Linked DNA regions of Saccharomyces cerevisiae S288C. The gene in region 1 interacts genetically with each later gene. Each region holds a gene or a part of one and is shown on either strand. Other genes may lie near its edges. The genes, in order: KIN2, RIM9, BUD8 and RIM101.

What was found.
Region 2: mutations in KIN2 (region 1) and RIM9 together harm fitness more than expected from each alone (negative genetic interaction), as found in Saccharomyces cerevisiae (2 studies listed by BioGRID).
Region 3: mutations in KIN2 (region 1) and BUD8 together harm fitness more than expected from each alone (negative genetic interaction), as found in Saccharomyces cerevisiae (3 studies listed by BioGRID).
Region 4: mutations in KIN2 (region 1) and RIM101 together harm fitness more than expected from each alone (negative genetic interaction), as found in Saccharomyces cerevisiae (2 studies listed by BioGRID).

The regions. Positions count from the first base shown.
Region 1 is NC_001144.5:329,114-338,865, reverse strand, and holds KIN2 (serine/threonine protein kinase KIN2), read right to left. Parts: upstream 6,277-9,752; coding exon 2,833-6,276; downstream 1-2,832. Other genes in the region: CHA4 (Cha4p), read left to right, coding at 1-1,339; SCF ubiquitin ligase complex subunit HRT3, read left to right, coding at 1,601-2,635; IOC2 (Ioc2p), read left to right, coding at 6,751-9,189; GIS3 (Gis3p), read left to right, coding at 9,628-9,752.
Region 2 is NC_001145.3:393,655-400,670, reverse strand, and holds RIM9 (Rim9p), read right to left. Parts: upstream 3,595-7,016; coding exon 2,875-3,594; downstream 1-2,874. Other genes in the region: KAR5 (Kar5p), read right to left, coding at 1-969; AEP1 (Aep1p), read right to left, coding at 1,212-2,768; ARG7 (glutamate N-acetyltransferase), read left to right, coding at 4,292-5,617; cleavage polyadenylation factor subunit RNA14, read right to left, coding at 5,883-7,016. UniProt on the Saccharomyces cerevisiae protein: Required for the proteolytic cleavage of the transcriptional repressor RIM101 in response to alkaline ambient pH, which is necessary for sporulation and invasive growth.
Region 3 is NC_001144.5:831,095-839,149, forward strand, and holds BUD8 (Bud8p), read left to right. Parts: upstream 1-3,257; coding exon 3,258-5,069; downstream 5,070-8,055. Other genes in the region: LUG1 (Lug1p), read left to right, coding at 22-2,445; sedoheptulose-7-phosphate:D-glyceraldehyde-3-phosphate transaldolase TAL1, read right to left, coding at 5,256-6,263; ILV5 (ketol-acid reductoisomerase), read right to left, coding at 6,972-8,055. UniProt on the Saccharomyces cerevisiae protein: Involved in positioning the distal bud pole signal.
Region 4 is NC_001140.6:49,450-53,488, forward strand, and holds RIM101 (alkaline-responsive transcriptional regulator RIM101), read left to right. Parts: upstream 1-1,661; coding exon 1,662-3,539; downstream 3,540-4,039. Other genes in the region: WSC4 (Wsc4p), read left to right, coding at 1-1,131; YHL026C (uncharacterized protein), read right to left, coding at 3,770-4,039. UniProt on the Saccharomyces cerevisiae protein: Transcription factor that mediates regulation of both acid- and alkaline-expressed genes in response to ambient pH.

The DNA.
Region 1 (9,752 bases):
TTTATCAAGAAGTCCCCTTATCTTAAGATCGTTGTCACTCTTTTTCAAATGGCTATACCCGGGACATTACCTTTTCATTCATAGAGAAACTTTCTTAAGTGCTTTCTTCGGTGATACTAACACTAAAAGTTACTATTGTTCCGAAGAATTGGTATTTGCAATCGCTGCATTGGGATCTTTGATTTCATACAAATCAGAAACTGAGCTTTTTCAACAATCTGAAGTGTTTTATCAAAGAGCCAAGACGATAGTACTCAAAAAAATTTTTCAACTGGAAGATTCTTCGTTAGCTGAATCGTCGTCCTCTTCGAAATTAGCAATCATCCAGACTCTATTGTGTTTGGCATTTTATGACATTGGAAGCGGAGAAAACCCCATGGCTTGGTATCTTTCTGGGCTGGCATTTAGGATTGCCCACGAAATCGGCCTACATTTGAATCCAGAAGCATGGAGTAATGTTTATGAAGACGAGCTGTCAATAATGGATTTTGAAGTGAGAAGTAGAATTTATTGGGGCTGCTACATTGCTGATCATTTAATAGCGATCCTCTTTGGAAGATCAACTTCCTTGCGTTTGTCCAATTCCACTGTTCCAGAAACAGACGAGCTACCTGAAATTGAGACTGGTATAGAGGAGTACATATATGACCCAAAAGTAATATTGTCCACTGCAAACCCCTTGAAGAAACTGATTGTGTTATCGAGAATAACGGAGATTTTTGCATCCAAGATTTTCAGCCCAAACGAAACTCTACTTCAAAGGAGTGAATACTTGGCCAAATTTAATCTGGAGGTATACAATTGGAGAAGGGATTTGCCCCCTGAACTACAATGGACCAAGAGGTCATTGATGGAAATGACAGATTTTAACCCAACCATAGCTTACGTATGGTTTCATTACTATATCGTGCTAATTTCCTATAATAAACCTTTCATATACGAAATCAAACAAAGCCGGGAATTGGTTGAAGGTTATGTTGATGAACTGTATTATCTTTTAAAAGTTTGGAAAAATAAATTTAAGACGTTTGAGAAGGCCACAATTTACATGATTTATTCTGCGATTTTAGCCATCCAATGCATGAAGTCCAACTTGATTAAAAAGGATAGAAAACAAGACTTCTTAAATTTTTTAAGTGCGCCTACCCTGAATTACGAACTTGCTAGAAAATTCATAGAAAACTCTGAAGATGCTTTGCATAATTCAGAAACTATGGATTTATTAGGGACTCTATCTCACGGTAACGATTTTGCCTTAGAGTACAATTTTGACTTTACTTTATTGAATGAGATTGATATGCTGATTGGTGGAAACACCAATGATGGTTTGTCGAAGTAATCTTGAGTGAAGAGGATATGTTTACTTGAACAAATATTCTTTATGTAATGTGTTTGTAGCCTTTTTATTTGGGAAGGAATATACCGCTATCCTTTCCCACCTCCGAACTTATCGATTCGGAATTTTAAAGAGCCTTCCAAATGACAAAAAAAAGGATTGTAGTTCCTAGATAGCGAAATCGACTGAGCAAGATAAAAGCAAACATTCCCCATCATCTTTGGCGACGACACATGTGTTCCATAAGCTAAACTCAAGGAGCAAATGATAGTAGATTATGAAAAGGACCCTAGGGCTAAAGAGGCTATTGCTATTTGGGAAAAAGGTGTACTGAAAGAGAAGGATGGGTCAATGTCAGATGCTATAAACTTCTATCGAAGTGCATTGAAAATCCATGATAATGTGGAATCACTGTACAGAAAAAAAATACTTGATGAGTGGATGCTGCACAAAAAACTATCGGGATTATCAATGACTACTGATGCTCCAGATGAACAAAATGAAACCGGTAAAGATGACTTATCTGTTGAAGAAAATGCTGAACTTCAACCCTGCTGGATTCTGGAAATCTTGCCTGACGACATTTTACTGAGAATTATTAAAAAAGTTATATTAATGTCTGGTGAATCTTGGGTGAATTTGTCGATGACTTGTTCCACCTTTAGCAAGCTTTGCTTCCACGATTCTGTGCCATTTAAAACTTTCGCGAAGTACATATATTCTAAGCAAATATACGACAAAATGGCAATGGATCTTAACGGAATCACCGATATAAATACCTTTGAAAAGGAAATATGGCGGGGTGATGATTATCGTATGTTAAGGGAAAGGCCATATATTAAATTCGAAGGTGTTTACATCAGTGTAGTAAATTATGTAAGATACGGTTCCAATGCAGAAAGTTCGTTATCTCTTTTAAAGCCAGTTCACATGATCACCTATTACAGGTATTTCAGATTTTATGAGAACGGCCAATGTTTGAGATTACTTTCTACAGATGAACCTAGCGCTGTCGTGAAGCACTTCTCCAAAGAGAACAAACCCAGGCATAGTCATATGTGTTATTGGAGCCTCGGATTTGATTATGATTTTGGTCATTTAAAGATAACAAGGTCAGATGAAAAGTATACGTTTATCGAAGAATTCCAAATCAAGAATCAAGGCAATAAGAGATATCAACGGTTGAAATGGCTAAGTTCAATTGTAGTGGATAAGGAAGGGAATGCATCTAACTGTTCGTTGAGAAATGAGAAATCTTTTTTCTTCTCCAGAGTGAAATCTTTCAAGGATCCTGGATGACATCGATGTTTTTTGCAGTTGTTTTACTTTATTTATTATTCTTATAGATTTATGTAGAACTATTATTTCATCATATGAAAGATTAAAGAAAGCAGATCTCAGCTTAAATAAATTATACTATAATATTAAAAAAAGATAAATATTAGATAATAAAAATTGAAAGACACACGTTGAAATATTTAGTAAGAACAACGTATCTATAGGTTTAATTCTTTTAAAATATACGATGCCAATTCTTTATATAGCCACGTATTACCAGAAACCTTTTTGAAATGTACACCTGCTAGGCCGACGATACGAACCTTTACAATGTGAATCTCAAATTTAATAGGAGGCCTTTCTTTTATACCAGAAGTATTGGTTTGCTCTGTTTGACCATTTACGTTATTTATATTTTGGGCTCTTGATGTTGTTAAAATATCATCCTGTTGTTGAACATAATCTAATGACATGGAAGATAGTTCCCCTGATGTACCATTACTTTGGTTTCCGTAGTTTGGAGACATTGGGATAGATGAATTTCTTTGATGTGTATTGGTCGCTAAAGGTGTTAGTGGTATATTATTCTGGCCCCTCTTATAAGAACCTTGGCGTTTTATCGAACTATTTCTTGATGCTGAGGACGCTGTACTATGGTAACTGGATGATAATTGACTGTCTAAACTATTTTGCAGATCCATCGCCTTTCCGGAATCCAAACCCACGCCAGTAGTGGTTATAACAGGGACAGCTGCAGTCTCAATAGATGGCCTTTGTTGGACACATATGAACCCGCCTTTCACTTCTTTGAAATCAATATTCATTCTTGTTAAAACAGATATGATATTGTGACGAACAATAGGCAATGGTTTAGAGGAGGTTGTTTGTACAGAGAAAAAACCCTTCAAAAACATTGACTTTGGATAATCAATTGATGGCATAGACCCGGGGGGTGCCTTTGAAGCTTCCTCCAAAATTTGCTTCTCAGTAAGCTCCTGAGAATACACCGAAGTCAGTCTATTGTTAGTATCGTTACTGTATGTGGTAGAATCTTCAGGAACGGTCGAAAAGTTACTGCTAACAGGATTGTATCTCTCCTTGTTTGCCTCTCCCAAAAAGCCGTTATCGTTTGTCATATCTGATGGCGGAAGGGCTGCTGGTATAGGCGGCCTAGTAAATTTCAAAGATTCACGACGAGCATGCCCCACCGATTTAGCCCTTGCACTAGGATGTAACTTACGACCCTTCGGAACGGAGAGATAATGGTCACTATTATCATTATTGATACCATCGACTACAGCGTTCACATTGTTGTTATCATTATCATTAATTTGTAATTTGTCGAGATTTTCCTGTAATAGTTTTTGCCGTTGTTTTTGAACAATTAGTTCGGCGTTCTGAGGTAAAGCTGGAAGATCACTGTTTTGCTTTTGTGATACTGACCTTATAGGAGGTGCTATGGTAGTGTTTTTAGCGGGTTTCTGTTTTACATCAACAGAATTTGGCACGTAAGATGGATATCTTCTAGCGCTAGGAATATAATCTGATATAGTACGACTATGGCTTTTCGGTACTTTGATGGAAATTTCATTTGATTTTGACATATATGTTGGAGGTTCTCTTTCTGGAAGAGGTTCCTGTTGCCGTGTGGGATGCTGAGATTGTCCACTTTGTGATATTCTTCTGAATATGCCGCCTATTGTATTCTTTTCCTGATGTTCACCTACTACGGGTGAAGCAGAACGTTGCTGATATTCGCCAGACACGGGGACTGGTGTTGATTTCAAAACACCATTTAATTCCGTATGAATGTCGGAACTCTTCCTAGATGTTGGAGAAGTATGCGCTTGTTCCGGTATTGTTAGTTTAGGAGGAACCATTACATGCAGTGGAGGTTTGTTTGAGGTATTAGTGTTGTTTGAGGTTCCCGATGTTCCAATTGCCGGCACTTGAAAAATACCAGGATTAGGTACTACTTCTTTCTGAGGGCTCCTCATTTTGGTCATAATATCCGGGGAGTTATTATTTAAGGCGACCTTAGTGCCAAGTGCTACTTGTTGCTGTTGTTGCCTTTGCTGAGCTTGCGCTTGCAGGGCCAATGCTTGCCTTCTTTGCAACTTCGCTAATTTCCGTGCAACCATTTCTGAAACCAAGTGATATATTGATAGTAATGGATGATATGCTAAAGTAGGATCTTCAAAATTACTATCTGGTTCATTATAACCACTTTGCGATGGATTACTTGTAATATGATTTTGTATTAAGGTTTGTTGTGCCGTTGAATTTAGGTAGTTATTATTTAAACTTGAACTCAACCCCTTGGCGTTGGATAATTTGTCCCAGTATTCTTGGGAAAGTTGGATGTATTCCTTTTCAGTTACTAATCGGATCAATGATCTTCTTGTATCTTCAATATCGTCAATAAATTCTAGGCGATACATTTCCTTCAGAACTTGGCTATCTATCATTTCAGGGGTTAATGGAACACGATTAGGAACATATGATGGAGCCTTAAAATCGTATCCTCTGTTCATCCATGGATGCTCAACGACATTCTTTAATGTTGCTCTTCTTAATGGGTCGACAACAATCATCCTGGTTAATAAAGATATAACTTCAATGGATAAGTGTGAAGGATAGTCTACTTTACCTTTTTTTATTTTTTCATGTAAAATGCTTGAGTTCTCATCATCAAATGGTACTTTACCGCAGACCAAGACATAAAGAACAATACCAAACGACCAAATATCTACCTCAGGTCCTGTGTATGGCTGCGCTTTTAATAGTTCTGGTGCTGCAAAGTACAAGGAACCACAAAACGTATGTAATTGTTTCCTATAATCAAAAATGTTGGAAAGACCAAAATCAATGATCTTAATTTCACCTGAACTAGATATCATTATATTCTCAATTTTCAGATCTCGATGAACAATATTATTGGCATGTAAGTATTGCAGCGCACTAGCTATACCTCTGGCAAATTTCCTCGCATGGTGTTCCTTTAATGAGCCATGCTGAATAATATAATCTAACAGCTGTCCACCGGAAACGTATTCAAAAAGCATATAAAAATGGTTTGACATAGTGCACATTTCAAATAAACGACAGATATGAGGATGGTAAAGGATTTGGCCCAAAGAGGCTTCCCTAACAGTCCTTTTATCCCTCGCAATTTCTTTTTCTAACCGCTTTTGTCTTTCTAATATCTCACTCTCATTCTTTGGGGAAGGTAAAGAGTGCTGTTTATGGAGATAAGCCTTGGAAGCCCTATTAACAATCTTTATTACACAAATTTCCTTTGTTTGACGATGCTTGACCAATTTAACTTTACCCATAGAGCCTGCGCCAACCGTTTCAAGGAACTCCCAATCTCCCAAAGATCTTCTATGAAATTGCCTTAATTCCACGGCGCCATTAGGCCTCGATGCATCATTTTGTCTCTGAGCTGCCTGTTCCTTGCCCTGTTTGATATCTGCAGGAGGCATCAGTGGTGCTTGTTGCTGGTCATTTCTTGGTCCAGATTGCTTGCCCATCATGCGAAGAGTGGCTGGTGCAGCAACTCGCGTGTCGTTGAAAGCTTCTGGCGTCGGCGATAAAGATCCGCCCTTACTGGTCCTGAAATTTGGATTCACCAAGTAATCTGCTGTATTCGGATTAGGCATAGTGAAATACTTAACAATTGAGCCGCGATATTAATGGCACAATAAAACTTTTAGAAATTTCTTTTGAAAAGCGTTTCTCGGTACCTAATGCTGTTCGCGCTCAGAGTTCCGCTGAATTTCGTGTAATGCAGTATATTTTGTAATAAAGTTCTCGTGGCCCGTCCTTGACTGTGAATTTGTGTCAACGGCGTGCTCTATTCCTTGCTTAAACGGTGGCAAAGCAGGACTTCTAGGTCCACTTGAGCTCTTCTTTTCCTTTTCCAACCTTTTTAAATTTTCGTTGCTAGACCAAGTTACCGCTATCACCGCACACGGAATGCGAGAGCGTCAAAAGTGACATAATTCTTCCTTTCCAGCAACATTAACATTTATTTATTCAATAGTGACACGACTAAGAAACTAGATCAATTGCTCTATTTTACTCATACACACTGGCTAATCATATATAGATACAAAGCGGTGAATCAGCGATCGATGAGAACGAAGAGAACTAGGGGTACAAGAAATGTAGGAGCGAGCATGCCTGCCGGCGCTGCGAATGCGGATAGTGAAGACTGGAAAGAATATGTCTCCGAAGACATAATAGCCCAATTGAACAAGCACCAGCTGCCGTATTCTGAAATATTAGATGAGAAGATCGCGGACTTGGCCAATCACTGGCACTTCCAGTATGTGATGGCTTGGCTTTCCAATGTCTGCGAATCATATACTACAACGACATTTAATACTGACCAGTATGGCGGTAGCTCTACCAAATGCTTGTGGAAGAATATCAAATTCGATGAAGGTGTATTTGTAACTGACGTATTTTCGAAGATAGACGGGAAGGACTCGAACTATTACAATGATGAAGTCGACGTAGATGAAGGATCGCAAAATTTGTACGACAGAATTAGATTGCAATTATTGCATCAATTAGCGGGAAATAAAAGCGGGCAATTGAAAGATTGGAATGTTATAGTTAACCATCACTTGCAAAACTCGAGCGCGTATTCAGATTTGGTTACGGACTTACCTTTTTTGGAGCTTGAAATTGCACGCCAATTCGACATCATTTACAGTATCATAAAATTAATTGAAATGAAAAATATGATCTTCAAAAACTACTTAGCGAATAACTTGCATCTGTTTACGTTTAGTGAAGTTATACTGGATGATGATAATAGTGGAGGGGAGGAAATGAAGAGCTTGTTTGCCTTACCCAATGTTGGTGTACTCGTAAAGAAAACCATTCACAGAGTAAAAGAAGGCTCTTCCTCCCAAGTCTCTCAAACTCTGAATATCCCAATAAAACTACAGAACTGTACTATAAAAGAAAGCGACCCAGACATTCCTGATTCAGTGGAGCTTATTCATCTCGAGTACTCTCACGATATCGATGCATATCTTCAATCGATTACAATTGATTATGATGTGATTACAACTAATTGGGGGTCCATGCTAGAATACTGGTCAGAGAATAAAAGTTCGAAAGCCATAGATGAGTTCATAACTAACTTAATACCGGTGTATGCCGAACATAGACTATATTCGGCAAAACTTTTGGCCAACAGAGAAAAGGAGAGAGCAATTGCGGAGCTAATGACAAGGAGGAAAAGATCTTCGAGACTGGTAGCGAAAGAGGAAGAAAACAAGAAAAAAGACTTGGAAAGTGAGTGGTTTGAAAAACTAGATGAAAGAGAACAATTTATAAGGCACAGAAACAAGCTAGTGTCGAAGGAAATCAAAAAGATAAAAGATCTTCTTTGGAACCAATTGTGGCAATTGTACGATCAAGATTATAGAGATGAAAAATTGACCAGGCGTAACGAGCTCAAAGATAGAAGTGGTTCTGGTACACCGTTTTTTGAAACGTCTTTGGGCAGGGAGGAGGACAATCCCTTAAATGAAATCGATATCGGAGTTCTTGATCACGGCCCTAACTTTCAATCTAGTATAATCCCGGTGGAACCACCAATTCCTGGAACTGTTGGGCCACTACAGACGGGAGACGTCCCTGAATTGCCTAGTGACTTCTGCATAACAAAGGAAGAGCTAGATGAGCTTGCCAACTACGGGATCTTTACTCCGCAGCAAGAGCCCGACAACCAAGATTCTGTTTTCCAATGTCCGGGCGAACCAGAGCTGGCGCCCATGATTATCACCGAAGACACGGAGACTGACCTCTTCAATAACCGCCCATTGATATGCTGTGATCATTGTTACAGGTGGCAGCATTGGGAATGCCAACCTCCAAAAATTATAGAGCTTATATCTTCAACCACAAAATCCCCACAGCACACGCTGTCGCAACGTGATTTTGGCGTCATCATAATGGGAAATTCGCACGGCAATAGAAGGTCTTCTCGCAGACCCCAATCCACACTTGAACCCAGCACCAAGTCTTCAAGACCTACTGATAAACGCAAACCGCTGTCTGAATGCTCCACTTTTATCTGCGCTTGGTGCATCAGGGACTTGGAACTTGAGCTGCGCAACATTTTTGTGCCTGAATTGAAAATAATAAGGGCCAAACAAAGAAAACAACAGGAAGACCGTGAAAGAAGAAAAAAAATGAAGGAAGAAAAGAAAAGGCTCGAAGAGCTTGCAAAGAAAAGGGAACTAACCGAGTCTGTCTCACCTCCAGTGTTTAATAATGCATTTGCAAACATGTCAAGTAGCACAACGCCTAGTATCGCCGCTTACGAAAAAACAAATCCAGCCATCAATCCAGCACCTAATGTAAATGCCGCTCACCCCATAATTACATACTCGCAGCAAACTGGCAGCAAAACTGTACCACAAGCACCACAGGCACCACAAACATCACAAGCATCAATCCAACCACAGCAGCAACAGCAACAGCAACAGCAACAGCAACCGCTGCACCCTAAAGAACAGAACTTTCACTTCCAGTTCCCACCAACCAACTAGCCTCATATAGAAATACACAGCAAAAGTATATAGTAAAATATATATCAACTGGTTCTTCATGAAACTTTCTTTTCCAGCCGCACATCCGTAGGGCTTCTGTCGCTTCATGTCGGGTAATAATGATGCTTAGGGCTTAGCGCCAAAATAATTAGGGTGTATGAGGCGGCTCCTGACTAGGGTCAGACGGCATTTTTTCGTCTTTTTTTATCCGGTTTTTCGTCAGTGGCCATCCTTAATGCGCGGCAAAGGTGCTGAAGGCGCCTTATTGTGTTAAAAAAGCCAATGAAATAAAAGTGGGATGGTGAGAACGCCAAACGAGTGAAACAGAGAATGGAAACTCGCTTCTTCACAAGTATTTGATGGCTAGTTTTCTCAATTACTTGTTTCTTTGGATAGACACGAACATACAGAACACTTTCAACAAGACATAATTATAGAATGCTGCTGGACGTGAACACAAATCACACACTAATGCACGATGCTCATGTGCATGAACATTGCCTCATCAAAAGCATACGTGATGATGGCGCATTGCACTCATGGAGCGACTCATCAAAGGTATT
Region 2 (7,016 bases), on another chromosome or scaffold:
TCCTAACTGTTTTTTTAAACCCATCGAGAAGTTTTCCAACTCGGTATTAACTAACTTGTTATTTCTAGAGTAATATTCTTTTACGTCGTTGGACATTTCCACTAGGTCCTGTAAATTATTCAGGCTGTCGTCCTTCAAGTCATTTATCTTAGATTTTATGTCATTTTTAGCAAGCTCATCGGCTAGATCGCTCATAATATGATGGACGGTATCAACTTCATTCATTAGTTGACTGTTCTTCTCTATGATTTGGACCTCTAGTTGTTCGGAAGTTTCATAGAGTACATCATTCACTTTATTTCTAAAAAATGAGAGGTCGTTTTCTAAGATTATTCGATTGCTTTCGGTCGCATTTCGCAGTTCATTGTCATAGTTGCGGAACATCCTGGCCAGATCGTCCAAAAAATTTTGAGAATCTTGCTCCATTTGAAACATCAGATGATTTAACTTAGTATCGACATCATCCCCAAATGAATCATAAAGTTCAGTGATATTTAGAAAAAGTTTCAGTATCTGTTCTTTTTCAAAAGGAAGAAGATTTTCATAACAAATACTCGATAGTCGCTGATAATTTCCACTATAAGTTGTCCACCACTGTGAAGATGATTCTAGTTCAAACATACAATCCATCATTGATCCTAGGTCGTCAACCATGCAATTTTCTGGTATTTCGCCCAAGCCAGATGCCTGAAACTCGCATATTGAAAGTTTAATGGCCGTTTCTACCCTTGTTTCAGCGTCAATGGATTCAAGTCCATTTGCAATACATTGTGGCAAAAATAATTTTAGTGCGTCTTTAACACATGTTGATTTCAAGAATGGAAATTTGGATTCTAATACATTTGTCGCAACGGAATTATCTGTGTATATCAATCTTCCTTGCAGCAGATTGTTGATTTTTCCTAGTTCGGAGCTTGAAACAAACTTAATACAAATTGCAAACAAATAGACGTAGCGCATTTCAAACATTCAAAGTTTTTGAATAGAAACAGTTGTTGAACCAGAATATGTATACTTCATTGGTATTCCGAACCAGTGTTTATATATAGAAAATTTGTTCAGGATTAATCCCAAACAATTATGATAAAACAACCCGCTAGTGTGACACAGTTACAGTACGTATTCTTATTTACATTGTTTATTTGCGTGGAATGCGCAATTCCCTTTGCAGTGAGTTGCTCTTATGCTGCCTTTTTTTTAATATAGACGATTTATGGGCGTAAAGCTTCTCGTTCAGTGCAATTCAAATATTTCTCGATGAAGTACTTTTTAAATTCCTTATTATAACCTACAGCGCCCGTATTCTTAAGCGCGTGATTTCTCTCACTATTTTTGAGAGCCCTAATAATTTGTAGTTGGTATTTATGACTTAGTTTGATCTTATATGTATCTATCATATGAGCCATCATAGTGTAATTTCCTTGAAGTGCAAAAGACAGTATAAATTTCTCCACGAATTCGCTGGGCACGTTTTGTCCATATATTGGGCTCACTATATTGAAAACAGTGGATAGATTTCCGGAGTTGATCATTGGATCTTTAGTAAATGTTAATACTTTTTTGATAAAAATAGGTAAGGTGCTATCCACAGCCCGTTTTGCGTTATTGGATTTTCGAATAATATTTAGCAGAGAACACAATTCGTCGAAATGCCGGCACATAGGTATCAAAAATTTGAACAGGTCTATTGTTCCATAATTTTCTATTATGGGTGCAAGATCTGCTATGAATGCAAATTTGGATCTTATATCAAAAATCTTAGTGCTTTTATCGAAATGAACATCAATTGCCTCCAAATATCTATTAATGATAGTAGCCTCTGGTAAAATACCCTTTTTTATTAAATGGCCCAAAAAATTTTTGCTTTCATTCAAATTGCCGGTTTTAATGAAATATGATAATAGTTGTTCAATTACTATTGGGTGCAATGAATTTTCGCAACGCCCTGGAAAAAATCTGTTGTTGATCGCTGCCAATAGGTTTTCTAGTGCGGTAACCAATGTGGGACTGTACGGTGGGTTTTCATTTGCTTCCACTTTACAAAGGATATTATATAAAATAATGTTCATGGCCTTCATTTGGTCTAAACGTGAATATAATTGCATCTCAGTAACATTTATTAGTAGTATAAGTTTTTCAGTCGAGTTTCCATAATTCTTTATCAAATAAGCCAGTATATTCTCGCAAAATAATCTTGTCTGTTTACTGTCGCGGTCAAAAATATTCTGTAGTTCATTATTTACGGACTCGACCCTGGATTGCAAATCATTCGTGTTTTCAATCTCTGATAATATATTTTCAAGACCTCTTAATTTGGCAATATCGGTTGAAGACAAATGCAGAACGTGAAAAGATCTAACGCTTTTGCTCGCAGGTGTAAGTACAATATTTCTTTGATGTTGTCGTCTTGCAACGAATTCCATCAACCATTTATTCACTCCCCTAATATCATCAAACTTTAATTTGCTATCAACTAGTATGGTTTTTAGGCTCACCGGGTGTTTTATCAGTGATGGAGCAATTTTTTTGCCATCAAGCAGGCTAGGATTGTATTCCGTAGCGCATGCCGTGAATTGTTCTATTGCTGTTGGTTGGTAAAATGGGTGAATTATTTCTTCCGGATGAGGAACTTTATCGGCATGTTTAATGATCTTTCGACCGTCCGCTACTAAAGGAGTCTTTTTAAGTACTGGGTACCATTTGCGAGATTGCATCCTAATGAAGCACAGGTTTCTCCATTTGCTGATTTCTTGCACTGTAGTAATCATTTTCTAAGACCCTTAACAGATAGTGATGGAGGAAGAAAAAAATGTACAAATATTTGGAAGCCGATTGGCAAACCGATGTAACGTGCAAAATGACACATGATGTTACTTATTCAATGAACCCTCTATATGTCACTTCTGGAGCAATCAGACTATCTGTATGTGTTGGAGCCACTTCATATTCTGAGCTATTGCCGTTCTGTTTACTCTGGTAAATGTCGGAAATTGAGTACTGTTCCATTGAGCACGCATGCGCAATTGACTGTTGCGATTCATATTTTTTGACTGACACAACTCTTCTCATGACCCACAGCATGGAACAACAAAGTGCTACGCTAATAGTAGCGGCTAGCATTAGCCAGCCGGGCCAGTCCAGTTTGGAGATGAACAGAAGAATATCTACCAAAAAACATAAAAGACATAGCATGAACGTTGGCAGCGAAAAAAGGGCCGTGAACAATAACATCTCAGGTGAGTCCCCTAGTGGAGTTACCATGATAATCACTGCTAAAATTAATAGCGTTCCTGTGAATGCCAGTGAAATCGGGTGAACCACTAATAAATTGGAGACGACCACTTTTGAGTTCGATGGCAGGGTCAAAACGTGCCCGGAGGAGTCGACATCTGTACTGTCATATCCTATCTTCATTTTCGTGCACATCAATTCTTGGTTTTGACCACGTACACACCAGCCAAACAGGCCATAATAGTGGTTTCTGAATGACGATAACGATAGGTACTTGGTCACGGGGACGGTTATTAGCGGAAGTATTTCGAACATGGTTGTGATTGCTAGCAAAAACACCACAATATGGATCATGCTAACCATTCTCCTCTTTTCCTCAATGAATCTGTCTCAACCGTATAAATCTTTGTTTAGAAGGACGTCTCTACTCATTTCCCGGTTCTCAACGCTCATCACTATCTATCTATATTCATTGTTTCTTAGCTTATACTTGCGCGCGCCGCTGGTGAAAATCAAACTATAGCGAGATTCGACAATAAATTGGCAGTTACTTTTAGTGATAAAGAAAAGTCATGTTTTGTATATAGTCATAGCATGCTGTGTTGTAAATGTGATCTGTCTGAGACGTGTCAGTAGATCATAAATTTACAAACATTAAAATACATTTTTCATCGCTGTATAGCAAAAGTAATCTTATACTTTGTTGGTATGCTGAAGTAAAACACAGGGCTCTTGGCTTCACCCCCACGCTGTATCATAGAATAAAGAGAGTAGTGATGCAATAGGGCCGTGGTTAGACCCAAATTGAAGGTAGCGTTGATAGTAGTACTAAGTGAGAGTGCTTAGCAATCATTATTGACGGTGTTTTCTTGGCGAAGGTCTTTTTCTACTGCGATGGACAGGTAGGATGACTCACTGCGTAATTCGTTGCCAACTTCTTTAGTCGTCGAGTATATAAAAGCCTCATCCTCGGCTCGCCGCACAAAGGTGACGATTTTTGGGCTAGTATCAGCAATACTTCTATTCCCTTTATTTAAAGAAGTCCAAAATTCAACATAGCATGAGAATATCATCAACATTGCTTCAACGCTCGAAGCAGCTTATAGATAAGTATGCATTATACGTGCCCAAGACGGGCTCTTTTCCTAAAGGATTTGAAGTAGGCTACACTGCATCTGGAGTCAAAAAAAACGGGAGCCTGGACCTGGGTGTAATCTTGAATACCAATAAATCTCGTCCTTCAACCGCAGCAGCTGTTTTCACGACCAATAAATTCAAAGCTGCGCCAGTTTTGACATCGAAAAAAGTCCTTGAAACTGCTCGTGGTAAAAACATCAACGCTATTGTAGTCAATTCCGGTTGTGCTAACTCGGTCACAGGTGATCTTGGTATGAAAGATGCCCAAGTAATGATTGATTTGGTTAACGATAAAATTGGTCAAAAAAATTCTACCCTAGTCATGTCTACAGGCGTTATTGGACAACGACTACAGATGGACAAGATCAGCACTGGTATCAATAAAATTTTTGGAGAAGAAAAGTTCGGCAGTGATTTTAACTCTTGGTTGAACGTAGCCAAATCAATCTGTACTACTGATACTTTCCCAAAATTAGTTACATCTAGATTCAAATTACCTAGTGGTACTGAGTATACTTTGACAGGTATGGCAAAGGGCGCGGGTATGATTTGTCCGAATATGGCTACCTTATTAGGTTTCATAGTTACAGATCTTCCTATTGAAAGCAAGGCGTTGCAGAAGATGCTGACTTTCGCTACTACCCGTTCATTTAATTGTATATCGGTGGACGGTGATATGAGCACCAATGACACAATTTGCATGTTGGCCAACGGTGCTATTGACACCAAAGAAATTAACGAAGACTCTAAAGATTTTGAACAAGTAAAATTGCAGGTCACAGAATTTGCTCAGCGCTTGGCCCAGTTAGTCGTTCGCGATGGTGAAGGTTCGACAAAGTTTGTTACTGTTAACGTTAAAAATGCTTTGCATTTTGAAGACGCCAAAATAATTGCTGAATCAATCTCAAACTCTATGTTGGTCAAAACCGCACTATATGGGCAAGATGCCAATTGGGGAAGAATATTGTGCGCGATCGGGTATGCAAAGCTGAATGACTTAAAATCTCTAGATGTCAACAAAATTAATGTTAGCTTTATTGCTACCGACAATTCAGAACCTCGTGAGCTGAAGCTTGTCGCTAATGGTGTGCCACAATTGGAGATCGATGAAACAAGGGCTTCTGAAATATTGGCTTTGAATGATTTGGAAGTGTCTGTCGACTTGGGAACCGGTGATCAGGCAGCACAATTTTGGACTTGTGATTTATCACATGAATATGTAACAATTAACGGTGATTACCGTTCATAAATTCATGTATATTTTGTTCAATCTTTCTTTTATAAGCATGGTTATATAAACGCACAGAAACAGAGTGTTTCCTGTACCTTCTGAATGAGTTTGGCTATTGCCATATTTTTGAAAGAATTAACTATTTCCGTTTTTATTTATGTACGAGGCACCTTAACTATCCTGTCACATCGTTTTTTTTTTACTTAATTACATACAGAGGTTCGCCTATTATAATAGATGTGTTGGTATAAATATTCATATATACCTATTTATTAACGTAATGTTAACCTGACTTGGTGCTCTCAACTGTTGGAATCTCTACTTGATCATTTAAAAAATTCACCAATTTCTGCGCATCGAGTAAATTTGTATTAAAATATTGACGTTTTGGTATAACGCTCAATAAATCAAGAACCTCTGTTGGAAGCTCTGAGTCTCTTTTGAATTTCTTATTGGAGAAGTTTCCATTGTTTCCAGTTTCCTCCATTAGTCTCTTTCTATCTGACGAACTCATATTGTAAGAGCCATGATGGCCATCCCCGTTTCCAGAAGAAAAGTAACTGTCTTCTTCCTCATTATACATATAAGTTAACTCTAATTTCTTTATTAAGTTGGAGTTTTGAATTTGATAACGACTTGTGAAAACTTCAATCAAATTTTCTTGGGGGAACCGTTCGAAAAATCTTTTCTCTAGAGAATAAACGTTGTTTAAGTTACCGAATTTCGATTCATAACTTATCATTTTCTTGTATATTTCCTTCAGCTGGGTTAAATCTTGCACTTTTTCCACTGATGTTTCAAATAAGGTTTTGATCTGCGAATCCTTATTTAAAAATATTAAAAAATCTAAGTATTTGTTGATATAAACTCCATCGTTTTGGAAGTATTTTAAACCCAATTCTAAAACCTTAAAAGCAGTCTTATAATCGTTTTGATTTTGAAATTCTAAATATGCATTTTCCACGTAGACGTCATGTGTTAATATACGCTTCAGTTTACGACATTTACCAAATACAGTACGTGCTGCGGATAGTCCTGATATTCTTTTCATCGTATTCATATACACGCAAAACACGAATGTTAATTTTTCCCTCTGTTTGTATAGCAGCTCTTGTTCATACTCTGTGTTATTATCTTCACCCGAATTTACATCGGAGGCGATCTTTTTATACTGCGATAGTAAAGTTTGAGTGCACTTGTCAAAACAGTTAGAAACACTTTCAGAATCATTATCCAGTTCGTAGCATTCGGATAACTTGAATGTAAGAGAAGGTGAGTCGGGATTAGCTAATAACGCAGTATATAAGATATTTTGTCGATCCGAATTTTCAGATATATACATTGAATAATCGTACCACATTTCAGCAGAAAATATCATGTATTGAATACCTTGTTTATAAACGTAACTGATTCTTTG
Region 3 (8,055 bases), 500 kb from region 1:
AACAGAGTCGGAAGAAGCCAAATGCCAGATTTGAAGTCCAAGACCTTGTCAAGCCAATCTTTGGGAGCGGCTATTCCTCCAGAAATTGTGTACCAAATACTTACATACCAGTTTAGGGATTTGTTAAGAAATGACCATCCAGGTACGGCAGAAAAGTTTAACGAAAACTTAACTACATTTGTCAAAAGTAATTTAACTGTTAATAAGACATTCTCCCATATTTGTCAAGTTCTCATTTATAGATATTGTAATTTAACTACCGCAAAGAGATTTCACGGTCTTTTACAGACTTTAAAGGGAAATAGATGCCTTTGCAATAAGATTGAAGTAGCCGATTTCCAAGAATTAACGTCTATTGGACTGGGGAGGTCCAGTGAGATGAATAAAATGATTAAAAATCTAACTAACGAAACTCTTCTTGAGTTTCTAATGCTCACAAAAGCAAACTTAAGGGAATTCTTAGCATGTGAAAATATTCAAGACGATTTAGACGATAATATCATAAAGTATATTCTATCTCCAGGAAAAGTCTTGAGTGTAGTGGATTTCTGTGGCTGTTCAGGCACCACTTTCACAGAAAGTTTTATTAAGGCCCTGGATAAATACTACCCTAATAAATCGATTGATCAGTACCGGCTGGAACCTATTCAACAAAATTATCAGATTACCTGCTTAGGCCTAAATGATTGTATTGATCTACCATCACACGTCCTTTGGAAGATCTTAAAAATGTTACCAGAACTACAAAAACTTGATTTATCTCATACCTCCATTGATGATAGTACCTTATATCACGGCATACCTCACTGGAAAAATTTAACTCATCTTTCCCTCGCTACTTGTCTTCAAGTTACTCCAAGAGCGGTTCTGGAGTTTTTTAGTCATCACCCAACAATTACAGACCCTGACAACACTTCTACATTAGAATGGCTGAATGTTAGTGTCATTGCCCATTCCTCATCTTGGAATGAGGTGCACACAATGTTTTTACTAAAAAAACTTTGTCAACATGGCCATAACAAAACTTTGCAATATCTAAATATCGGCGGTTTACCGCTTCATGTTGCACCTTCTTTCGGCGAGGACCCTATTAGCGAATCCACTTATTATTACCAATGCCGCGATAGCTTACAGTTCATAAAGTGGAATTTTCCGAAGTTAAAAAGTTTGAGTATAAAAGGTAATAGTATCCCGATATCTACGCTCGTAGAATTTTTGACACCAATTGATCAAGACCATCCTAATTGTGCTCAAAAATTGAAGTTTTTGAATATTTCTGGTAACTCTTATGTGAATAAATGGACTATTCAGGACTCATTATTGTACACTTGTTCTCCAAGTTTAGTCGCGTTAGAAGTTTCCTTTGACTCGTGGCAACAGATTGAAAAACTAAATGATAGACATGAAATTATTGCATACAGATATAAAAACCCAAATTCGGTAATTAAAGATATTTCAACAGCAGAACAAGTAAAGTGGAAATGTTACATTGATTCTTCTTATGGTAGGAGATATTGGTTATATAAGACTGATCCTTTCCTGAATCGTGATGACTTGGATTCTAAGTCAAATTTAACTAGGTATGATTTTGAGGGTCACAAAATCATAGAAATTATAAACCAGCCGGATTTCCTAAAGTTTGCCCAAAGTAAAATCATGCTTGGATGTGGTCTAGTTCCTCAAAGTGGTATTAGACGTAAACTATGTTACAGAGATTTAAAGCCACCAGTTTCTCAATTCTTAAATAGAAAAGGTGCGATCAGCCTTGGTGATACTCCACTACCAATAATTACCCCAACATTACCTCGTGGTGGGTGGAGAATCATCCATAATGAGGACGACAACAACAGTCATGTGGAAGATAGCCAAAATCACGTGAATGCCATCCCAAGAAGGAATTCTCTGTTGAGCAGACCCACTTTAAGAAGCAACAATGGTTCTTCCTCTGCCAACCCCTTTGCTATCAATGTTTCTCCTGCATCTCAAATCAGGGATGGTTTGTACTGGGATAGGTCGGTCCATGATTTACGTGAGCTATCATTGCAAGAACAAAGAATTCAGGAGTTAGCTGATGAGCAGCAGGAACTAAGAACAATCGCAAACTTTGAAGAGACTGACGACGAATATTTGCACGATCCCGACTTGCAACGGAGAAGGTCCCAACTTCACTTATTTGAAAGTTCGCGCTCACGTTCAGGAAATAAAACAAGACCAAGTTTAACTGGTGAACACTCGTCCTCGGCATCGTTTCTATCCTTCTCCCACTTCAACCACCTTCACAAGCGTAAGAATTATTATTTCACGCATCCCGATGAATTTGTCTATGATCCAAAGGATCCTCTGACGACTCAAAGATATAGATTACATTTTGAAATAGTCAACGAATATCAAGTTTTTGGGTGCATTGAGCGTGGAATGTATAGATACTACAGTTTAAAAGCATAGATATTTTTCTCTTTACTTCCTTACCCTTCCTCCGCTCTCGTCTTGTGTCTTGTATATGATTTCTATATATGGTAAAATATTGCATACATCGTCTACCATTTAGCCAGACTTTTCGGAAACGAATTTAATGATTGCAGCAAATTCCCTTCCCCTATCAACTGATTGAAGAATGCCTCGAAACGCAATGTGATTTTTAAGTTTTCCATTTTTTTTTTTTTCATAAGGGAAGCCTCTCTCCTCCGAAAAAGGTAAACATTGCGAAAAATGATCCAAAAGAGAGAATAAAAAAACAATTAGAAAATGATTTACTCATCCGCTTACTAGAGAGGCCAAACCGGATAGTCCTGACGCTAATAAGAGTAGGATTAAGTTCATTGTGGTGTGTTTTTTTATTGCGCGTAAGCGATACCTGCAAAATTCATTATAATTTTCAATCACCTTCCATCAATTATCAATACCCCATACTAAGAACAGGCAATTGGTTTAGGAAGGAAAATAATAAAGATATCCAAAAACAACTGGAAGCTTTCCAGTCGCGACCTCTGTTTTGTTCGAACTTCTAGTTAACAAAAGAAAGACCATTCAATTGCTTTTTTAATATTCATTATTGACGATTTTTATTTCTAGGCGATTACCGGTATACTTTTCATTCTTTTGATAAGATAATAAATCCAATTACATTCGCTTATTTTAATTCAATTTAGACTATAACTTTCTCTTAACTCTAGGAGTTTCTTTCTTGAATCGAAGCATTTTTGACAATACCCAATATCCTCTTTCTACTTGAGAATTTTTTCGATTCTACATGAAGTATGATACAATCAGACGAAGATAATTTGGACTCTTCTGAAACGACAGCATCAACTTCATATAGTGGTACTTCCTCTGTATCATCCAGACTACAACTAAGAACATCCTTGTTTTTTGAAAATCTTAATGGAGCACATGGGAACCCCGATGCGGAGACAGAGATGGCTACTGTTGCCTATGAAACCACAAGTAGAGGTCAAGGATTTGCTGTATACATCAACAATGAAAGGTTTTCTCAAATAATGGGAGCATCCACAAGCTCTAGCTCTAGTAGCAACTCGTCCTCTATTACACAATTTCACGATACCCAAGATAATAATATACCAAGCAACACTACTGTAAGGCCAACTTCACTTCGACGAGACAACGAGGATACCGTACCGTTAAGGAACGTAACTCCTTCACAAAACGCGGCGGTACGGCCAGAAAGAGCAGTGAATTCACCATCTTCGCAGAGATTAAGTTGCGCACTGACAATATCAACTTCAGTTCTTATGGGAGAAGATGTTGAAGGAAGCCCTATAGAGCAAGAGCATAGTAGGGTCGTATCTTCATTATACTCATCTTTGGCGAATCGCGGGAACGACGAGTCAAAGAATGGAACACCTCCACGTCCTACCTCAATTGAACCTAATGAAACAACGGAACACTCATTTTTCTCATACCATTACGATGACACCTTAGAACCAGATGTTGAAGAGGCAGTGAGGCTAACGAAGAATAAAACTTCTAATGTTAATTTTATAAGCTCAACTGGCAGTAAAGGTGAAGGCGAGACCGAGGATGAAGTCATAGATCAATACGAACCTGTGAATGAATCAAAATTTATACCGCACAAACTAAAAATTCCAGAGAAGGCTGGATCAATAAAGTCGTCGACAAGTGATGATTCGCATTCGCCAGGTGCGCCAGGTACGTCGGCAAGGAAGATTAAAATTCCTCAGAGTCCATCGTTAATTGGTAACATATTGATTCCTTCACACAATAGTGACAGTAGTAACGAAAGTTCTCCTAAAGACCATATAGGGCATAATAATGAAGAAAAATTCAGTTCAAAATCTACGCGCAAGCCCTCCACATCCCTAGAAGAAGAAGGTCCACCAATTGGACTACCTTCAATTCCCGTATTAAGAAGTGTGTCCGGACCAAGCAAATGGACGAAGACACCTTTACGCTTAGAATCTGGAAATTCAACTAAGTCTGATCCATTTTCACGCTATGAAGGACACAAGACGCCCTCTCCATTGACCAAGATGAACAAGAAGAAAAATAAAACGTTGCCAGAACATGGACAACCCCTCGTGCTAGCTCCAATTAAATCTCAAAGCTCGGAGTCAGACACGGGACAGAACTCCATTATAGAAAAGCCAGCTCGAAGCATACGACGAAAGCAACAAGAAAAAACTGATAATAGGAAAGAAGACAGGCACGATGCTGAAAATATAGACCTGGAGGCGAGAATGCCAATTCAACATATCGATACCGCTTCCATTCATTCGTTTGATTCAGGTCAAAATGGATTCAGGGACGTTTACAGCATCGAAAACATCATTGTGATCCTCCTATGTTGTAGTATAGTGCCGCCATTATTTTTTATTATTGGCTGCAGCTCAAGAAGGAAATTAGTTTCAGACTATAGATTAATGAGGTTGCTTATGAATAAAGAACACCGAGCGGCTTTGCTGCAAGGATTCATATGGGACGTTGATTTAAGGTGGTTCCGGATGTTTTGTCTGATCTTAGGGGCTGCCGAAACAGTGATTGTGATGGCCGGTATTGCTATTGGATTTGGTGTGGGTATAACACGTGAATAAGAAACTGTATCATTCATCAAATAGGATAAAAAATAAAAAACTGTTCTGTCTCGTTAAAGTCATATATATAAATAGGGGATTTTCATTAATTTATATATATAGATATACTTGTGTACATGTACCCGTAAGTATCAAAAGAAACGTGCATAAGGACATGGCCTAAATTAATATTTCCGAGATACTTCCTTAAGCGGTAACTTTCTTTTCAATCAAGTCGAATAGAGTAACAATATCGGCAGAGAATTTTCTGATACCTTCGGACAATTTTTCAGTGGCCATAGCGTCTTCATTCAAGTCGAATCTGAATTTAGATTCGTCGCTGATGTAAGAAATCTTGTCGCCGGCTTCCTTCTTAGCGGAGACAGGGTCCAAAACTCTTGGGAAAGGTTCAGTACTGTTCATCAACTTGTCCAATAAAGCTGGAGAAATTGTTAGATAGTCAACACCAGCCAAGTTTTTGATTTCGTCAGTGCTTCTGAAAGAAGCACCCATAACAATAGTCTTGTAACCGTACTTCTTGTAGTAGTTGTAGATTTTCTTGACGGAAATAACACCTGGGTCGGCTTCACCCTTGTAATCTTTACCAGTGCTGGATTTGTACCAGTCTAGAATTCTACCAACAAATGGGGAAATCAAAGTAACTTGGGCCTCGGCACAGGCAACTGCTTGAACGAAGGAGAATAATAGAGTCAAATTACAGTGGATACCGTCCTTTTCTTCCAATTCTTTGGCAGCTTGAATACCTTCCCAAGTGGAAGCAATTTTAATAAGGACTCTTTCCTTGGAGACACCTTCTTGTTCAAACAATTTAATGATATGTCTAGCCTTTTCAATGGTAGCTTGAGTGTCAAAAGACAATCTAGCATCAACTTCGGTGGAGACTCTGCCTGGAACAATCTTTAAGATCTCCTTACCGAATTCGACTAACAATCTGTCCACAGCATTTTCGACTTGTTCTTCGGTGGTCTTACCATGCTTCTTACCGTATTCCACGGCAACATCGATCAACTTGGCGTAAGTTGGTTGCTTGGCAGCAGCCAAGATCAATGATGGGTTAGTTGTGGAGTCTTGAGGTTGAAACTTGGCAATAGAGCCGAAATCACCAGTGTCGGCAACAACGACAGTGCCGGAGGCTTTCAATTGTTCTAGAGAGTTGTTAGCAACCTTTTGTTTCTTTTGAGCTGGTTCAGACATTATGTACACGTATATGTGACGAGTTCGAGAAGTATTTTACTATCGTACTAAATTTTACCTGAAAAATTATATACTCGAGAAAGAGGAAGCCAAGAATTGAGAAAAAAGAAAAACCCGCGAGTAAGGAAATTAAATACAGGTGTACACATACACGCACACATATATATATATATATATATGTATATGTGTATATAGGAAGCGCGCGCATGTTAGTATATACGATTCGTTGGAAAGGGGCCGTCCACCAAACGTGACTTGACGAGTTGACAAATTGACCTCAATATGGCTCAGTCAGTAATTTTTAGTTCCGCTTTATTCCCGCCATCTTTCAGGCCACGAGGGTAGCTCATAACGCCGCGCTAATGCCGCTGCGTCACAGCAACCAGTAGCTCAGCCAAAACCGAAAGAGAAATCGTAGCTGTCCCGATGAGGACTTATACACTTGTCACCATCTAAATAAATTATTTATTCGCGTTTCGGTTCTTGTTTTCGATTTAATTAGATTGTTCATTGAATCATAATAAATATGTAAAAAATATATATATTTGAAGCTGCTTCAGAAAAACAGGGCTTCCTAGTGTACAGATGTATGTCGGATGAAAAAAAAAAAATCTTAAATGTGAAATTGGGTCAATTCAATTGACTATGACTTGATGTTGCAAAAATTCCAAGAGAAAAAGTTTCCAGCACTTGATATTATTTTCCTCTTTATTGGTTTTCTGGTCTCAACTTTCTGACTTCCTTACCAACCTTCCAGATTTCCATGTTTCTGATGGTGTCTAATTCCTTTTCTAGCTTTTCTCTGTAGTCAGGTTGAGAGTTGAATTCCAAAGATCTCTTGGTTTCGGTACCGTTCTTGGTAGATTCGTACAAGTCTTGGAAAACAGGCTTCAAAGCATTCTTGAAGATTGGGTACCAGTCCAAAGCACCTCTTCTGGCGGTGGTGGAACAAGCATCGTACATGTAATCCATACCGTACTTACCGATCAATGGGTATAGAGATTGGGTAGCTTCTTCGACGGTTTCGTTGAAAGCTTCAGATGGGGAGTGACCGTTTTCTCTCAAGACGTCGTATTGAGCCAAGAACATACCGTGGATACCACCCATTAAACAACCTCTTTCACCGTACAAGTCAGAGTTGACTTCTCTTTCGAAAGTGGTTTGGTAAACGTAACCGGAACCAATGGCAACGGCCAAAGCTTGGGCCTTTTCGTGAGCCTTACCGGTGACATCGTTCCAGACGGCGTAAGAAGAGTTAATACCACGACCTTCCTTGAACAAAGATCTGACAGTTCTACCGGAACCCTTTGGAGCAACCAAGATAACATCTAAGTCCTTTGGTGGTTCAACGTGAGTCAAGTCCTTGAAGACTGGGGAGAAACCGTGGGAGAAGTACAAAGTCTTACCCTTGGTCAACAATGGCTTGATAGCAGGCCAGGTTTCTGATTGAGCGGCATCGGACAACAAGTTCATAACGTAACTACCTCTCTTGATAGCATCTTCAACAGTGAACAAGTTCTTGCCTGGAACCCAACCGTCTTCGATGGCAGCCTTCCAAGAAGCACCATCTTTACGGACACCAATGATAACGTTCAAACCGTTGTCTCTCAAGTTCAAACCTTGACCGTAACCTTGGGAACCGTAACCGATCAAAGCAAAAGTGTCGTTCTTGAAGTAGTCCAACAACTTTTCTCTTGGCCAGTCAGCTCTTTCGTAGACGGTTTCAACAGTACCACCGAAGTTGATTTGCTTCAAACCACGGGTAGTGATCATTGGCTTAACGAAACGGGCA
Region 4 (4,039 bases), on another chromosome or scaffold:
CTCATTTCCACGAGCACATCATCATCATCATCATCAACTCCAACCACAACATCGTCAGCCCCCATTTCTACAAGCACGACGTCGTCAACTTCCACTTCAACAAGTACAACATCGCCAACTTCTTCTTCAGCACCTACAAGCTCGTCTAATACAACACCAACGAGCACAACGTTCACTACGACATCACCCAGTACAGCCCCTTCAAGCACTACGGTTACTTACACCAGTACCACAGCATCTCCAATAACGTCCACTATAACTTCTGTAAACCTGCAGACCTCCTTAAAGTATTCTGTGATAACAGTGACTTCAGTGCACACCATGGACACTAACATTTCGGAAATCACCTCGAGATATCTCACCATGAAAAAAGTAATAACGCAGATTTACTCTTCCACCCTCGGGGCTACTCCTACTTCTGCAGTGGCTACTACGTCTGCCAGCGTAGGTGGTAGAATAACAAACAATAACAATAGTAACACCACCAACAGCAATACACCAACTAACAAGTCTACAGAAAAGAAAGGGTACTGGGATTCGCCCGGGAAAATAGCCGCTACTTTCGTCGTGGTTGGAGTGGTATGTTTGGTAATTATATGCATACTAATATACTTAATACATCATTATAGAACAAGACCCGCTCGGAAGGCTCAAGATTTTGAGAATGAATATCAGAGTAAGTTTTACCAGTCCAAGTACCCAAATGAAGTTACCACTACCACGTTACACACGCCTTCACCATCTTCAAATTCAACTTTCTCGACCCCAAGATTAATATACACTGATGAAAAGGGACAAATTATGTCTGAATCACCATCCCCACGTCAATCTACGTATTCCTTGACTGCAGGCAGTCCACCAAATGACCCAAGCACGTTGGCAAGCCCATTTCACGATCCCATTCTTCCCAGAAGAACTTCTACTTTTCTTCATTCGCCCATTCAAAAGCAACACGAAAAAATGGAATCAAACGTTACTCTAGGTGAAGACACGGTACTGGTGGATCAGAGGCTAGACCCAAGTAAGATGCTTAACACTTTAGCAAATGACGATGCCACAAACCACTCTACCATTTCGTTATCAGACAACGTAGACTACTCCAGGAGGGTTCTGCGGCTAATGAACGAATAAAGACTGCAGCTCTTATACGTAATAAATATTCCACGAACGATAATACATACATAATTTTAATTCTGAACTTTGTTTTTTTCCTTCGAATGTTCTCAAAAGAATGCTTTACGACAATAACGCTGTTATCTTGTACATACTTTTCTCTGCCCAGTGACAGCAGGCACAATAATCTAAATACCGCGTTCGTGCGAGACATTCTCTGTGATTCACAGATTACGGCGCAGAAAATAAAATAGCCGTCCAGCTCGGAGTTTCTAAAATTACGTCCGAGATGACGGAGGCTTATAAAATCATTTCAGACGGGTGAGGGATGCCAATCTACGAGACAAAAGATAAAAAATTAAGACTCAATAATATAGAAAGGAACTAAATGTTTTCATAAGAGTCACCGTCTATAACCTTTTTTTTTTTTATTGGTCTGTTATCACTTCCACTGAGAAAGTAATATTGCTATTGCACAACACTTTTTGAACAAGTGCAAAGATAAAATACTGAAAACGGTAAAGTAGGTTTGTTTAAATTGACTTAAGATGGTGCCATTGGAAGATCTGCTTAATAAAGAAAATGGCACTGCCGCACCTCAACACAGCCGGGAGAGTATAGTAGAAAATGGGACAGACGTTTCTAACGTCACAAAGAAGGACGGGCTGCCCAGTCCTAACCTATCTAAAAGGTCTTCTGATTGTTCGAAGAGGCCTAGAATTAGGTGTACCACGGAAGCTATTGGCTTGAACGGTCAAGAAGATGAACGGATGTCACCAGGCAGCACTTCTTCATCATGCTTACCATATCATAGTACTTCACACTTGAACACTCCTCCATACGATCTATTGGGCGCTTCGGCAGTTTCACCCACCACATCATCTTCCTCTGACTCGTCCTCCTCCTCGCCATTGGCACAAGCGCATAACCCGGCAGGTGATGACGACGATGCGGATAATGACGGTGATTCTGAGGATATAACACTATATTGTAAATGGGACAACTGTGGTATGATTTTCAACCAACCAGAGCTGCTATATAATCATCTGTGTCATGACCATGTTGGCAGGAAGTCACATAAGAACCTACAATTGAATTGTCATTGGGGAGACTGTACCACGAAGACGGAGAAAAGGGACCATATCACCTCGCATTTGAGAGTTCACGTACCATTGAAACCGTTCGGTTGCTCTACGTGCTCCAAAAAGTTTAAACGTCCGCAAGATTTAAAAAAGCATTTGAAAATTCATCTGGAAAGTGGCGGTATTTTGAAAAGAAAGAGGGGACCCAAATGGGGCTCAAAAAGAACTTCTAAGAAAAACAAAAGTTGTGCAAGCGACGCAGTGTCGTCTTGTTCTGCATCTGTGCCTTCCGCTATAGCTGGTAGCTTTAAGTCACATTCTACTTCTCCACAGATATTACCCCCATTGCCCGTGGGTATATCTCAACATCTGCCTTCACAACAGCAGCAGCGGGCTATTTCCTTAAACCAACTATGCTCAGACGAGCTATCTCAGTATAAGCCGGTATATTCTCCACAATTGAGTGCCAGATTGCAAACGATCTTGCCGCCATTATACTACAATAACGGCAGCACGGTAAGCCAAGGTGCCAACAGTCGGAGCATGAATGTCTACGAGGACGGTTGTTCTAATAAGACCATAGCAAACGCCACCCAATTCTTCACCAAACTATCGAGAAATATGACAAATAACTACATTTTGCAACAAAGCGGTGGTAGTACTGAGTCCTCGTCATCATCTGGGCGCATCCCCGTAGCACAAACAAGCTATGTGCAGCCACCTAATGCTCCTTCATACCAATCCGTACAAGGTGGTAGCTCTATTTCGGCCACTGCAAATACAGCAACTTATGTGCCAGTACGGTTGGCCAAGTATCCAACTGGTCCTTCGCTTACTGAACATTTGCCACCTTTACATTCGAACACTGCCGGTGGTGTTTTCAACCGCCAATCACAGTATGCTATGCCACACTATCCATCTGTTCGTGCTGCGCCTAGCTATTCCTCCAGTGGCTGTTCTATATTACCGCCTCTACAATCAAAGATACCAATGTTACCATCGCGCCGTACAATGGCAGGTGGAACTTCATTGAAGCCTAACTGGGAATTTAGCCTGAACCAAAAAAGCTGTACTAATGATATTATCATGAGTAAGCTGGCGATTGAAGAAGTAGATGACGAAAGCGAGATAGAGGATGATTTCGTAGAGATGTTGGGTATAGTGAACATTATCAAGGACTACTTGTTGTGCTGTGTCATGGAAGATTTAGATGATGAAGAAAGTGAGGACAAAGATGAAGAAAACGCATTCTTGCAAGAATCTTTAGAAAAATTGAGTTTACAAAACCAAATGGGAACTAACTCAGTTCGCATCTTGACCAAGTATCCCAAAATTTTGGTATGATATGGATTGTCGGATATTTTATTCTTAGTTGTTTCTTTGCGGCTGTATAGTAAATGAATAAATCACACATGCCCTAGCGCGGCGTCGCGGATTAAACAAGGTAACAATGGTTAAAGGAAAAATTATTTGTTAAGGTGGGTATATTATAGATTGCTAATTGTAAAGTATTAATAGTTTATTAAGTATTAAACTAGAGTTCGCACATGCTTTTATTTTTTTGTTGCTTTTCTTCACGCTACCGCTTCTTGAGACTGTTGTTTGGTAGTACTGATATCTTGATCGGTTGATCCCGAGCTGCGATTACCCGTGGAGCAAACTTCTTGATCCTGCTGTAGCGTACCGTTTGCTAAGCCTTCATAGTAAAGTTCCTCGTGAAACTGGTTTCTCAACACAATGACGATGATGGCCACTGGAGTGCATACAAAGGCAATTACAACGGCATAAATCAACTTCATGACCTGCGGTAGTGGATAATCGTTGAAGTAGTAGTCGTGGGACCC